3 linked regions of the Oryzias latipes genome follow. The protein of the gene in region 1 purifies or fractionates together with the protein of each later gene. This does not show direct contact. Links are inferred from orthologs where the notes say so. Each region holds a gene or a part of one and is shown on either strand. Other genes may lie near its edges. The genes, in order: slbp, ctif and mif4gd.

Region 1 (3,755 bases):
TGTTGTGATCTAACAATATGTATGAAAAGTGCTGAATAAATAATTAAAAAAATGGTTACAAGAGGTCCATGAACCCTGCTCCTGCACAGCTGCAGGTCCTACAGCTGGTTTGAGAGCAACAGAGATCAAGGAAGACAGAAAAACAAGCAGAATAAGCTACCGGTACATCAACCACAGAAGCAAATTTTTAGGACAGGTACTTTTAGGACATATTGTGTTTCAAAATGTACTTTGTATTAAATTCCATTACAATACTGAATCTATGAAATATCTTTTTAACAATTAGAATACTTCCTTTAATTATGGAAAAAACACTTTCAACAGAATAATATGAAAGTGGTACAATGAATTCCAAAAAACATATGGTTGTGATATTATAATCCCAAATAGATGCAAAGAGCTTTTGAAATGGTCAATTTGTCTTGAGCCAAAACATTATATTTCAATTTTAAAAATAGATGTAACCCTGCAACGCTGAAATCAAAGGTTAGTTTTACGTTGAAGCCTGGAGTTTTAATGCTGTTCAGGGTCATTTAGTTGCTGGAGCCAACCCAGGTACTCTTGGGCAAAGGTGGGGTAGACAGTTTGACAGTCCATTACAGGGCCACACAGAAACACACACACTCACATTCCCACCGAATAGATAATTTACCAATTAACCTGTGTTGCATGTTTATGGACTGTGGTCGGAAGCAAGAATCCCTTGAGAAAAACCACAGATGTTTGGGATAAACATGCAAACTCTAAACAAAAAGAACCCATCAAGGATTCCAACACATAAAAAGGACATTGCTAACCACTACACCACTGTGCAGCTTTGCTCGGCTTAATTCAATTGCAATACATTTTGAACAGATTGATGGTTTTTCTCACCATTTTGACAACCCCTAATTTTAATTCATTACTGTTTAAAATAAACGTAGGCAAACAATGTTAGAAGATGTCACTTATAGATTAAATGTTCCCTCGATAAAAGCTCCTCTTTTATAGAGTCGACCCTATTAACTGTAGACATTAGACTGAACAACACAGACACATTTAATGAAAGAGTTACATGTTTGATTTTTCCTTTAAAGTTAGTAAAAGAATAAGCATCGCAGTTGTTTTTATTTGTCTCTCAATTTCTGATTGTGCTCAATTACATATTTTAAATGTGTGAAAATAAAAAAACAGCTCAAAGCTGTCAGATCCATGTCATATGAGTTTTGATTTAAAAAATCTTGTTAATTAGAAGACCCTTTATGACGTAATAGCTTTTGCCGTTATTGTGGGTGGAGTCAAGGTTTTTTATTTTTATGATTAAATGTATTTACTTGTATTTCAAACTATATTCTTTTTCATACAAAAATAAAAAAAACAAGTCTGAACATTTTTAAATTGAAGGGTTCGATGGTCACGTGGTTCCCAGCGGAGTGTTTGGCGCGGTGCCTACGGAAGTGACGTAGCACTCGTCTTTGTGTTTGGCGCGCCGCGGGTTTTTGTTTTCTGTGCTTGGCGCAACTCGGGTTTTGGTGTCAAACGAGCAGTTTTCCCGCAGAACCGGATCATGTCTACCAGAACCCCTGACCGGCGGACCGACGCCACCAGCAGCCGCCGCGAACACACCCGGAGGTGAGGAGTTCCGATCCAGCTTGGTGAATTCGGAGAAGGCTGTTCCGTTCGGACTGAACGCCGGGACCGGCGGACAGCAGACCGAACTACCGAGAGAGGGAACTCCAGTCCTGCTCCTGACTCTAAACACATAGGTTTTTAGTCGGTTCTTGGCGGGTTTCCAGAACCTCAGAGGTCTTGAGAGTCCTCGACCACAAAAAACTGTTTTGACCGAACGAGCAGGTTTAGCTGTTTATTAACAGAACCGGGACGGATCATTATATACGTCGGTGTTCATTCTTTAAACCGGGTTTAGTGGAGACGGAAATGTAAATATCCGAGCTTTAACGTGTCGTGTGTGGTTCTGTGGATCCTCTTCTGTTGGATCGTGTTCTGTTTGGGAACAGTCCTCCGGAAAACCTCGCACTGTTTCTTGGTTCCGCTGCGCGGGGCAAATGCGCGCCAAAGCCGCACCTTTAGTGCAGATCCTACTTCATATAATGCAGTAAAGGCATTTCCACCTGCTGCTGTGAGGCGTTTAGACAGGAACATTGTGTTTTTAACATGTTCGTCTGACTGATGATGGAGGACACACCGAGAGAAAATTAGCTTTAAAAAACTTTTTGGAGTTTTTCTTTATTAAAGTTTTAGTTAATCAAGAGTAAAAAGATCATTTTTGTGACGTTGAAAAGACGTCACAAAAAATACAAGATCCCTGCTCCTCTCCATTCTTATTCATCATCTGTCAGACAAACAGATCCATGTTTGTCTTTGTTTTCTCGTCTGAGCTGGAATCTGGATCCAAACTGGACGTCTGGATAGATCCGATATCGCTGGCTATTTTTGTTGCATTGATAATGTTAAGTTGGAGCTGTAAGCAAGCAAACAAAGGCATGATGGGTAAAAAGGGCATGTCCTCTCACCGCCAACAGCCACAACTCAGAGGAGAATTCCTGCCGCTCTGCAGAAACTATGTCCTAGGTCAGGGGTGTCCAACTCATTTTTTACTGAGGTCCACATCAGCATAGCTGCAGTCCTCAAAGGGCCAGATAAACCTGAAAAATAAATGTAACTACTACTTAATGTTAAATTACTCATTTATTTATTCTAACTTTTTAAAGTGACAATTCCAGTTGCATAGAAAACATATATTTGTTGTTATTCTAGCATAAATCCTTTTACATTTGATTCTGTCAGGTTAAGTTATATGGACAGTGTTTAAGTCCTACTGTTTAGTTGCCCAATCCCATATTTCAAGTCTGATTCTCCCTAGATATGAATAAATACACACCAATTTTTATTTTTTATTTGAGAAATTAAAAACTTTTATGCTCTTGCGGGCCACAGAAAATGACATGGGGGGCCACGTTTGACCCGCGGGCCTTGAGTTTGACACGTGTCTTAGAAAGTGACATAGGTTGTTAGATTATGACTAAAAACGCCTTGATCCTAATTCAAAGACCACTGGGAACACTTTTACAATAGATCAGAAGAGACAACAAGCTCTGTTAGAAACCCAAACCCTCTGGTTTACGGCAACAGTTTTAAAGCCATGCACACGGCATGTCTGCACTCATAATGAAGACCCCCCCCCTCTTCTTTACTGTCCAGCAGCGGTCCGTCCCGGTGGTCCCACTGCAGGAAGAGAGGCGTAGACGGGAGCATGCGCACAGACGAGCATGAGCGCACAGACGAGCATGAGCGCACAGAAGGGAGACATTCCAGGTAACGTTCCAGGTATATTATTATGATGATGATGTGGTCCATTTACATTACTGAGGCCAAGTGCTCCATCTACAGCCAGACAGCCACAACCACTGTCCTGTGTTTCAACCAGTTACTGTAAATGAGAACGGAACCGACAGACTCCTCCCCCTGGCATTCCAAACAGGAAGTACCCGCTGGTTCCAAAAAGCTAAAATGCCATAAACTTCCATAGAGAAATAAACAGCTGTTACTCAGTCATTTTATTTGTCCAAATAACTTTTTTTGCTCTGACACCTTTCATTAACATGCCCTCGATAACTCGTTTTTTTATATTTTATCTTTAGTGCAATTTATCCAAAATATAAACTGACCAATCAGAGCATTTGATTGACAGATTTTGTGCAGCCGGTGGTTCTGCTGGTGGAAAAACTGAGAACTTAAAGCAACAGTATTTAGGT
Region 2 (3,655 bases), on another chromosome or scaffold:
AAGCTACATAAAGAAAAAGAGACTCCAACTATTATTTCAACTCAACATTCAGACTGTTGGATAGGTAGATAACAGCTGAGCAATATGCACTCTGACATTATGTTGACTTGATGCAGTTTTAATGAAGCTCACAACCAACCAAAGGGGCAGAAACTGCCAGTTCATTGGTTTGAGTGAAACTATGAATTCTTGCCTAAAGGCAAATATTAAGGCTAAGCTGTAACCTGATTTGACTTACAAGTTAAATTAAGATTTTTCTCAATTTGTTTTTCTTAGTTTGACACAACCTCCGGACTGTCATGTCTTTTATAAATGTTCAGTATATCATAGTCTCTGCATTTTCTGCTTTCCTCCCCTTTAAACTGCAGGACGAGTGGGAGCACAGCAGCAATGGCAGTACTGGCTCTAGGCCTAGTTCAGGGTCCAGACAGGGGTCAGGCTCCCGTTCTGGCAGCAGAGGCCGGAATAACCAGTTCAAAGCTCCTGCTAAGGTAGTGAAAGATGTGCCTGTGTGCTTTCATTAGCAGTTTTGAGTGTTCTCCTCTGGCATCGTGCAAATGTCCACTTTATTAGGAAAAGAAAAAACACAAATTGAAACTGAAATATGGTGTGAATTTGTCATCTTTGTTTTTGTCTAGAACGGGAACAAAGATGGCTCCTTTGACATCCTGGGAACAGACATTTGGGCCGCCAACACAATGGACTCACGCGGGTATGCGTCTTAGTGTCTCACACCTTTTTTGTGTCTGCTAGTTTTGGATTCCATACATAGTTTCCGGTGAGTCATGTTGCAAATGTAGATGCTGTCTCACAGCTTTTGCTAGTCAGTCTCATGCTTTAAAGCTTAGTGTTTACAATCCTCTCTGTTTTTCCTAAATAATCTTTCAAACCAAACTTTGCTTTTCTTATTCCATACCAGTTTTCAGGCTAAAACCCGATATTTCAACATGTTTGCTCTGATATTTAACCAGCTTCACTGCCTCCTCTGAAAATGTTGGTCACAAAAAGTTTTATTGAAAAAAAAGTCAAACAATTTTTATGAAAAATTGATCTTTAATGTAAAAAATAATTTATTTAAAAAAACAGCAAGACACTTAATATTGTAAAGGGTTGATAGGTTTGATATAGTAAAATCTAAAGTCAAGACCATAAATATTTGGACAGAGACACATTCTTTCTTATTTAGTCTCTGTACATTACCACAGTGAATTTTAAACAAAACAACTCAGATGCCATTGAAGTGCAGACTTTCAGCTTTTATTCCATGGGTTGAACAAAAAGATTGCATAGAAATGTGTAAAACTAAAGCATTTTTTAAACTCAATCCCTTCATTTATTTCATGGGCTCGTAAGGAATTGGACAAATGAAATAACTGAAAACAAAATGGTGGAAAACCCTTTGTTGGCAATGACAGGCTGAAGTCTTGAACTCATGGACGTCACCAGATGCTGGGTTTTCTCCTTCTGAATGCTCTATCAGGCCTTCACTGCAGCGGCTTTCAGTTGCTGTTTGTTTGTGGGCCTTTCTGTCTGAAGTTTAGTCTTCAACAAGTGAAATGCTGCTCATTTGGGTTAAGATCAAGTCCACTGTTGTCTTCCGTGGACGTCCAGGTCTTTTTGCGTTGCTGAGTTCACCAGTGCTTTCTTTCTTTCTCAGGATGTACCACACTGTTGATTTTTACCCTCCTAATACTGTAGCAATTTCTGGCATGGTTTTTTTCTGTTTTCTCAGCTTAATGATGGCTCCTTTCACCTGCATGGAGAGCTCCTTTGACTGCATGTTGTCTGTTCACAGCAAAATCTTCTAAATGCAAGCACGAGTCCTCTAATCAACTCCAGGCCTTTTATCTGCTTCACTCATAATGACATAACAAGGGAATTTCCCACACCTGCCCATTCAATAGCATGGAAGTCAATTGTCCAATTACTGACGAGTCCATGAAATGAAGGATTGTGTTTAAAAAAATGCTTTAGTTTTTCACATTTTTATGCAATCTTTTTCTTTAACCCATGGAATAAAAGCTGAAAGTCTGCACTTCAATGGCATCTGAGTTGTTTTATTTAAAATTCACTGTGGTAATGTACAGAAACTAGAATGTGTCTCTGTCCAAATATGTATGGTTCTGACTGTACTTAGCGGCTTCACTGAGTACCAGCCACGTTGGCACAGCTGAAGACAGGCTGAAGTTATTCAACCTGCACCGTGGGATTATGTAAGCAGCTCTGTCCTTACCAGACACTGATGGTTTTAATTTAATTGTTTCTGCACTCCTAATTAAGCTGTGTGGATCTAGATTGAGAAGCTCATTCATTCATTTTTTAATCAAGCGACAAACTATGATGATATATCTGAATATTTAAATGTTATACTGTTTCCTGCTGCACGCAGAAAACACACAACCATTAAAACAGTTCAGAGTAATACAAGTGAGCGTGGCGTATATTCACACCCACCTTGTCTATTTGATTAAAATAGACCAGCATTTGCTCACTAAATAAGGCCGAACTCTGGTCTGGACCAAACAAGTGGAATGGATGGTCTGCTTCTGAAAGGGCTCTGGTGCGCTTTGCTTACTATGTGAATATAAACTAGCCTCAGTCTGGCCCAACTTCAACTGTCATCAACCTTTTTTAGAACCAAAATGTTAATGTAGCTGAAAGCCACAAGCTGTCAAACCTGGAGCAAGGAGGAGATGCCACGCAACCCGTTGAGACAACTGTGATGTGATATTGGGCTATATAAATAAAATTGAATTGAATGCATCCTTCATATTCGGGCTGACGCACATCAATTCATATTAATCGTTCTTTGTATATCACTGTTCATTAGGGTTGTCCTTAAAAGTGGAAATTGGAAATTCTAAGCTCCAACCCATGAAGTTGGTTGGATTAGCTGAAAAAAACTCTCCTTGGGAATTTTTCTCTCAATTGGACAATATTTACCCCTCCCTCAGTGACCTAGAAGTTTTCCCCTTCGGCCCCTATGGGTGCGCATTGTCAAAGAATAAAAACAACATAACAATTAAAATTAGAATTAAAATGAAAGTTTTAACATCAGAACTGATCTCAAACAATTTAATCTACAATTCTACATGTATGAAAAAGAACAAATATTAATGATGATGAAAATTGTAAACATTCAAAACATCCATTATATAACTGAGTATGCTTGTATTCCTGTTTGTTCTAAATGTGAAAAAAAATTCTTAAAAAGGCGATATTCATATTCCATATCCAATCTACAGTCTCTGTCCCAAACATTTGTTAGTGTTCACTCTGAGACTGCTAAGCCCATCTATTGGCAGCCAGCTTAGTTCTCCTTACTCTTCTGCTGAGGCACCATACCAGTCTCATTGAGGGAGGGGTAAACGTTGTTGGAATTGGAAAAAAATTTACAAGGAGAGTATTTTCAGCTATTCCAACAGATTTCAGGGGTTGGAGCTGAAAAAATATTAATTTGAAAATTTAGCCCTCTGGAAGGACCACCCTACTGTTCACACATGGTAACACAAAGTACTGTACACTAATAAATACATAAACAAAATATTAAATAAAACTGTTTTTGTATTTTTAAACCCCCCCCCCACACACACACACCACTCACCCATTTCACCTATAGCAATAACAACTCATGGTCGCACAACGTGCAGCTACT
Region 3 (3,697 bases), on another chromosome or scaffold:
AAATCGTATTTTTACCACGTCAAAGGGACTGATGAGAGCTCTGGTAACCATCCCAGCAGCCGAACCGGCCAACACGGCTTCTTTCGGGGAGATAGCAGCCTCCTTTGCTCCAGGGTCGAAACCCACCATGTCTGCACAACTTCAAACTAAAGCAGAAAGTAGGCGTTCTTTCAACTTTGTTAATTAAAAACTATGTTTTAAAAAAAGAAATCTTGTGGATATTAATGACACAATAATCACTATAATTTTATATATTGTTTTATATACACACACACCCACCCACACATAAATATAACTGTTGGTGAATCAACTTTCGTAACACATGTTGTAGTACATAGAGGACAGTCAACGCATACGTGGGGCTAGCTAGGCTAAAAACATAGCACTTATTGCTTCGTTTCCGTTACAAAAACAATATATAAATAATATGTAAATATAAAATATAATTTACCTTGTAAGACAACTCATGCATATATATGATTGCAGCTCTCCAACTGACCCATTACATAAAAGCACAATACTATTCCAACACTTCCGCAAACTCGGACAGCGCATGTGCCTAATACCATCAAAGATACCATACTGCAACAAGATGTCTCTCTATTTGCCCTAACCAGTTTAGCGCACAAACGGTTACGGATTAAATTCTAACGGTATAGAACGTGTTTTATATATCTTAATAAATGCATTCATTAAAACATATGGATAATAAGCTGTTTAGTCCGAATTTGTTTTTTTTTTGTTTTTTTCGGTAAATTAAAAAAAAGACAAACATCTTGACATCAACACTTCATCTTCGGAGGATAGTTTCGACGAGCGCTTGGCTGCCCTTACTTCAACATTATGACCATCATATATGAGTCAAATAGGTATATTTTCGCAACCTTTGGCATATCTTCACACTGTAAACGTAACAAAAATGTTGACTACTTACATTTTGTTAAAAGTTTCGCCCGTTTGTGTCTTTTCGCGGATGGATATTATGACGGCTAACAAACCTGATGCCTGACGTTTAGCTGTTTACGGCCGAAGCACACAAGCTAGCAAAGCAAACCGGTTTGTTAATTAGTTCAATTAGTGTTTGAACTGTTTTGTAGTAAATATCAATTTATAGGAAATGTGATTTTAAAAAAGGAGTTCTAAATTTAGTATGGTTACATTATTACATTAAAGAAATCCACGAATCTCAAATCTGAACGTGAAATAAATGTTTGTTTTGTTTTGGAAAACGGGTGCTTTGGTGTAGTTAGATGGTTTCTAGTTGACCCGAGTCTGGCGTAATCCCCTCTAACCCCAGTTGAATGGGCTGCAGGGAGCAGTCTGATGACTGCTGCATTTTTTGTCACAAGTCTCTGTATAGCTGATGTGTTCTCTGAAGCTCACTGATTTTAGCAATCAAGAATCTTGTATAATTGAAGAAAAAAAGCTTTGAGACCAGAAGACAGTTTGATTTCCACATGTGCTGGTCCCCAGATGAAACGGAAGCTCATCCAACTGTAATGGAAAACTCCACGGACGAATACAGATTCCAGTCATTTGACCCAGACACACAGATGTTACTGAAAACTGCCTTGAAAGGTCAACATTTTCCTTTAATATTCTGTAGGCTCTTTTTATGATTTAAAAATGTGTTTAGAAGACATTTTAATGTTATTTAATTAACTTTCAGATCCAAGTTCGGTGGATCTGGAGAAAGTGTCTAACATCATTGTAGATCAGTCTCTAAAGGATCAGGTGTTCAGCAAAGAGGCGGGCCGCATTTGCTACACTATTGTCCAGGTTAGTAATCATGGGGAAATACTTTAAAACTTGACTCAGAGCATCTCCTAATTTAAATATTTGGAAAAACCATATCATCTGATTAAGTCTCCAAGACTGCTTTTCACTATTTCATAAATCATCTCCCCTCTGCCACTGTTTGTCCTGGGATTTGTTTTTAATCTATGCTTTTATCACGCTCTGATTGATTCCTGATCACCACCTCAGGCTGAGGCCAAGCAAAGCGATGGAAATGTATTCAGGCGAAACCTGTTGAACCGACTGCAGCGGGAGTTCAAGGACCGCGAGGACATGCGGGCTCGCTCGATACACGAGTGGGTGTGCTATGTCACCTTTATCTGCAACATTTTTGACTACCTCAAGGTAAAAAGCACAGATGTTTTTTCTTTATTTCTTTCTGAAAGACTTTGACATTTATCTTTGCTGATCAAACTAAAGCAGAGGAAACATAGTGCAACACACATTCAGGATTGCCTCTGTCAGCCATTCTGAATGCATAACTCTTATCAAATATATCTTTATGTTTTTTCAAAACAAAATCGCTGCTCTATGACGGCATTGGATCTTTTTTTCTATTCTTTTTGCGTGTTAAATGTGATCAGGTATATTTCGGGTTCTTGGGTAGAAGTTTTTGATATTTTATTTTATTTCATTGCATTTTGTCACAGCTTTAACTTTTTCCCATCAGTTAATAATTAATTATATGTATTTATTAATGTTAGTTCCGGGTATCAATGCCGAAATGCTGTATCCAATCAGTTTTGATGCACAAGCTCTCGATTAGATTCGATTTTGATTCATTTTCCAACATTTTTATTTAAAAAAAATGTTTTTGTTAAAAAAACACATTTCATACAGTCATTTAAACTGAACAAAGGTGGACTTTTTATTGTTAAAATTCAAAATTCTTACTTTGAAAACCTAATGAAAGTAGACTTTACTTTAAAGGAAAATTGATTCAGACATTTGATGAATCAATATGGATTTTCTTTGTAAGATCAGTTTGCCATTGATTACTAAGTTTATTAAAGGCTGCCCTTATGTGTTGTGTGCCTGCATCCCTGTCAGGTGAACAACATGCCCATGGTGGCCCTGGTCCATCCGGTTTATGACTGTATGATGAGACTGGCACAGCCGGATGCCCTAAAGAACGAAGAGGAGGTGGGAATGTGCTAACGTGTTTGAGAAAAGTGTGGTAAAATCATTGTAGCTTCATAAGGTGGATGTCTTCCTCTCATCCTCTTCAGGTGGACTGTCTGGTTCTTCAGCTGCACCGGATTGGAGAGCAGCTGGAGAAGGCGAACAGCCAGCGGATGGACCAGCTGTTCTTTCTGCTCCGGGACGGATTCCTCCTCCAGGAAGGCCTTACTTCCATGACACGCCTGCTCCTCTTGGAAATCCTAGAGTTCAGGGCTGGAGGCTGGATGCTCAGCAGCACTGCCAACAAGTACTACTACAGCGAAATATCTGACTGACGGAGGTGCAAAGCATTAGACCTTCAAAATACATGAGAGCCCTCACTTCTTTTTAAACTGATGACAAAAAAAACAGCAGCTCTTCCAGGCAGTTAGAACAGCCTGACGAGAGAATCATTCATACAAAAGCTTAGTTTTGGGTGTGTTGTGCAGATTGACTGAGAAGTGGTGGCTGTGGATTGTGCAATAGTTCAGAAAGCTTTCAATTTTATGTTTCTAAATGACATATTTTTAAATTTGAAAGTCTTTTTCTTTATTTTAAGACCATGTTCATTCTAGCTGGAAAAGACATTCCAGTCTGATGCAAACCAAGATCTTTACTTTATGTTTAGTAGAAAATTACCTTTTCTATTTCAGTGTAACATGACAATTTAAAAAAAAAACACATTTTAGTTTACCTCCAGTTTTGCTGTTATATTCCACTTTCTGTTTTGTGTGACCAT

What was found.
Region 2: the proteins of slbp (region 1) and ctif purify together in Homo sapiens (affinity purification with western blotting; 3 studies listed by BioGRID). This does not show direct contact. The link is inferred for Oryzias latipes from reciprocal best matches to the Homo sapiens genes SLBP and CTIF.
Region 3: the proteins of slbp (region 1) and mif4gd purify together in Homo sapiens (affinity purification with western blotting; 3 studies listed by BioGRID and IntAct, with this or other methods). This does not show direct contact. The link is inferred for Oryzias latipes from reciprocal best matches to the Homo sapiens genes SLBP and MIF4GD.

Annotation. Positions count from the first base shown.
Region 1 is NC_019868.2:4,691,668-4,695,422, forward strand, and holds the start of slbp (histone RNA hairpin-binding protein), read left to right. Parts: upstream 1-1,423; 5' UTR 1,424-1,546; coding exon 1,547-1,611; intron 1,612-3,201; coding exon 3,202-3,315; intron 3,316-3,755. UniProt on the Homo sapiens protein: RNA-binding protein involved in the histone pre-mRNA processing.
Region 2 is NC_019870.2:9,661,489-9,665,143, forward strand, and holds part of ctif (CBP80/20-dependent translation initiation factor), read left to right. Parts: intron 1-368; coding exon 369-491; intron 492-638; coding exon 639-712; intron 713-3,655. UniProt on the Homo sapiens protein: Specifically required for the pioneer round of mRNA translation mediated by the cap-binding complex (CBC), that takes place during or right after mRNA export via the nuclear pore complex (NPC).
Region 3 is NC_019866.2:13,001,009-13,004,705, forward strand, and holds the start of mif4gd (MIF4G domain-containing protein), read left to right. Parts: upstream 1-761; 5' UTR 762-856; coding exon 857-869; intron 870-934; exon of another isoform or gene 935-1,442; intron 1,443-1,473; coding exon 1,474-1,578; intron 1,579-1,669; coding exon 1,670-1,779; intron 1,780-1,986; coding exon 1,987-2,142; intron 2,143-2,847; coding exon 2,848-2,940; intron 2,941-3,026; coding exon 3,027-3,254; 3' UTR 3,255-3,697. Other genes in the region: slc25a19 (mitochondrial thiamine pyrophosphate carrier), read right to left, coding at 1-129. UniProt on the Homo sapiens protein: Functions in replication-dependent translation of histone mRNAs which differ from other eukaryotic mRNAs in that they do not end with a poly-A tail but a stem-loop. May participate in circularizing those mRNAs specifically enhancing their translation.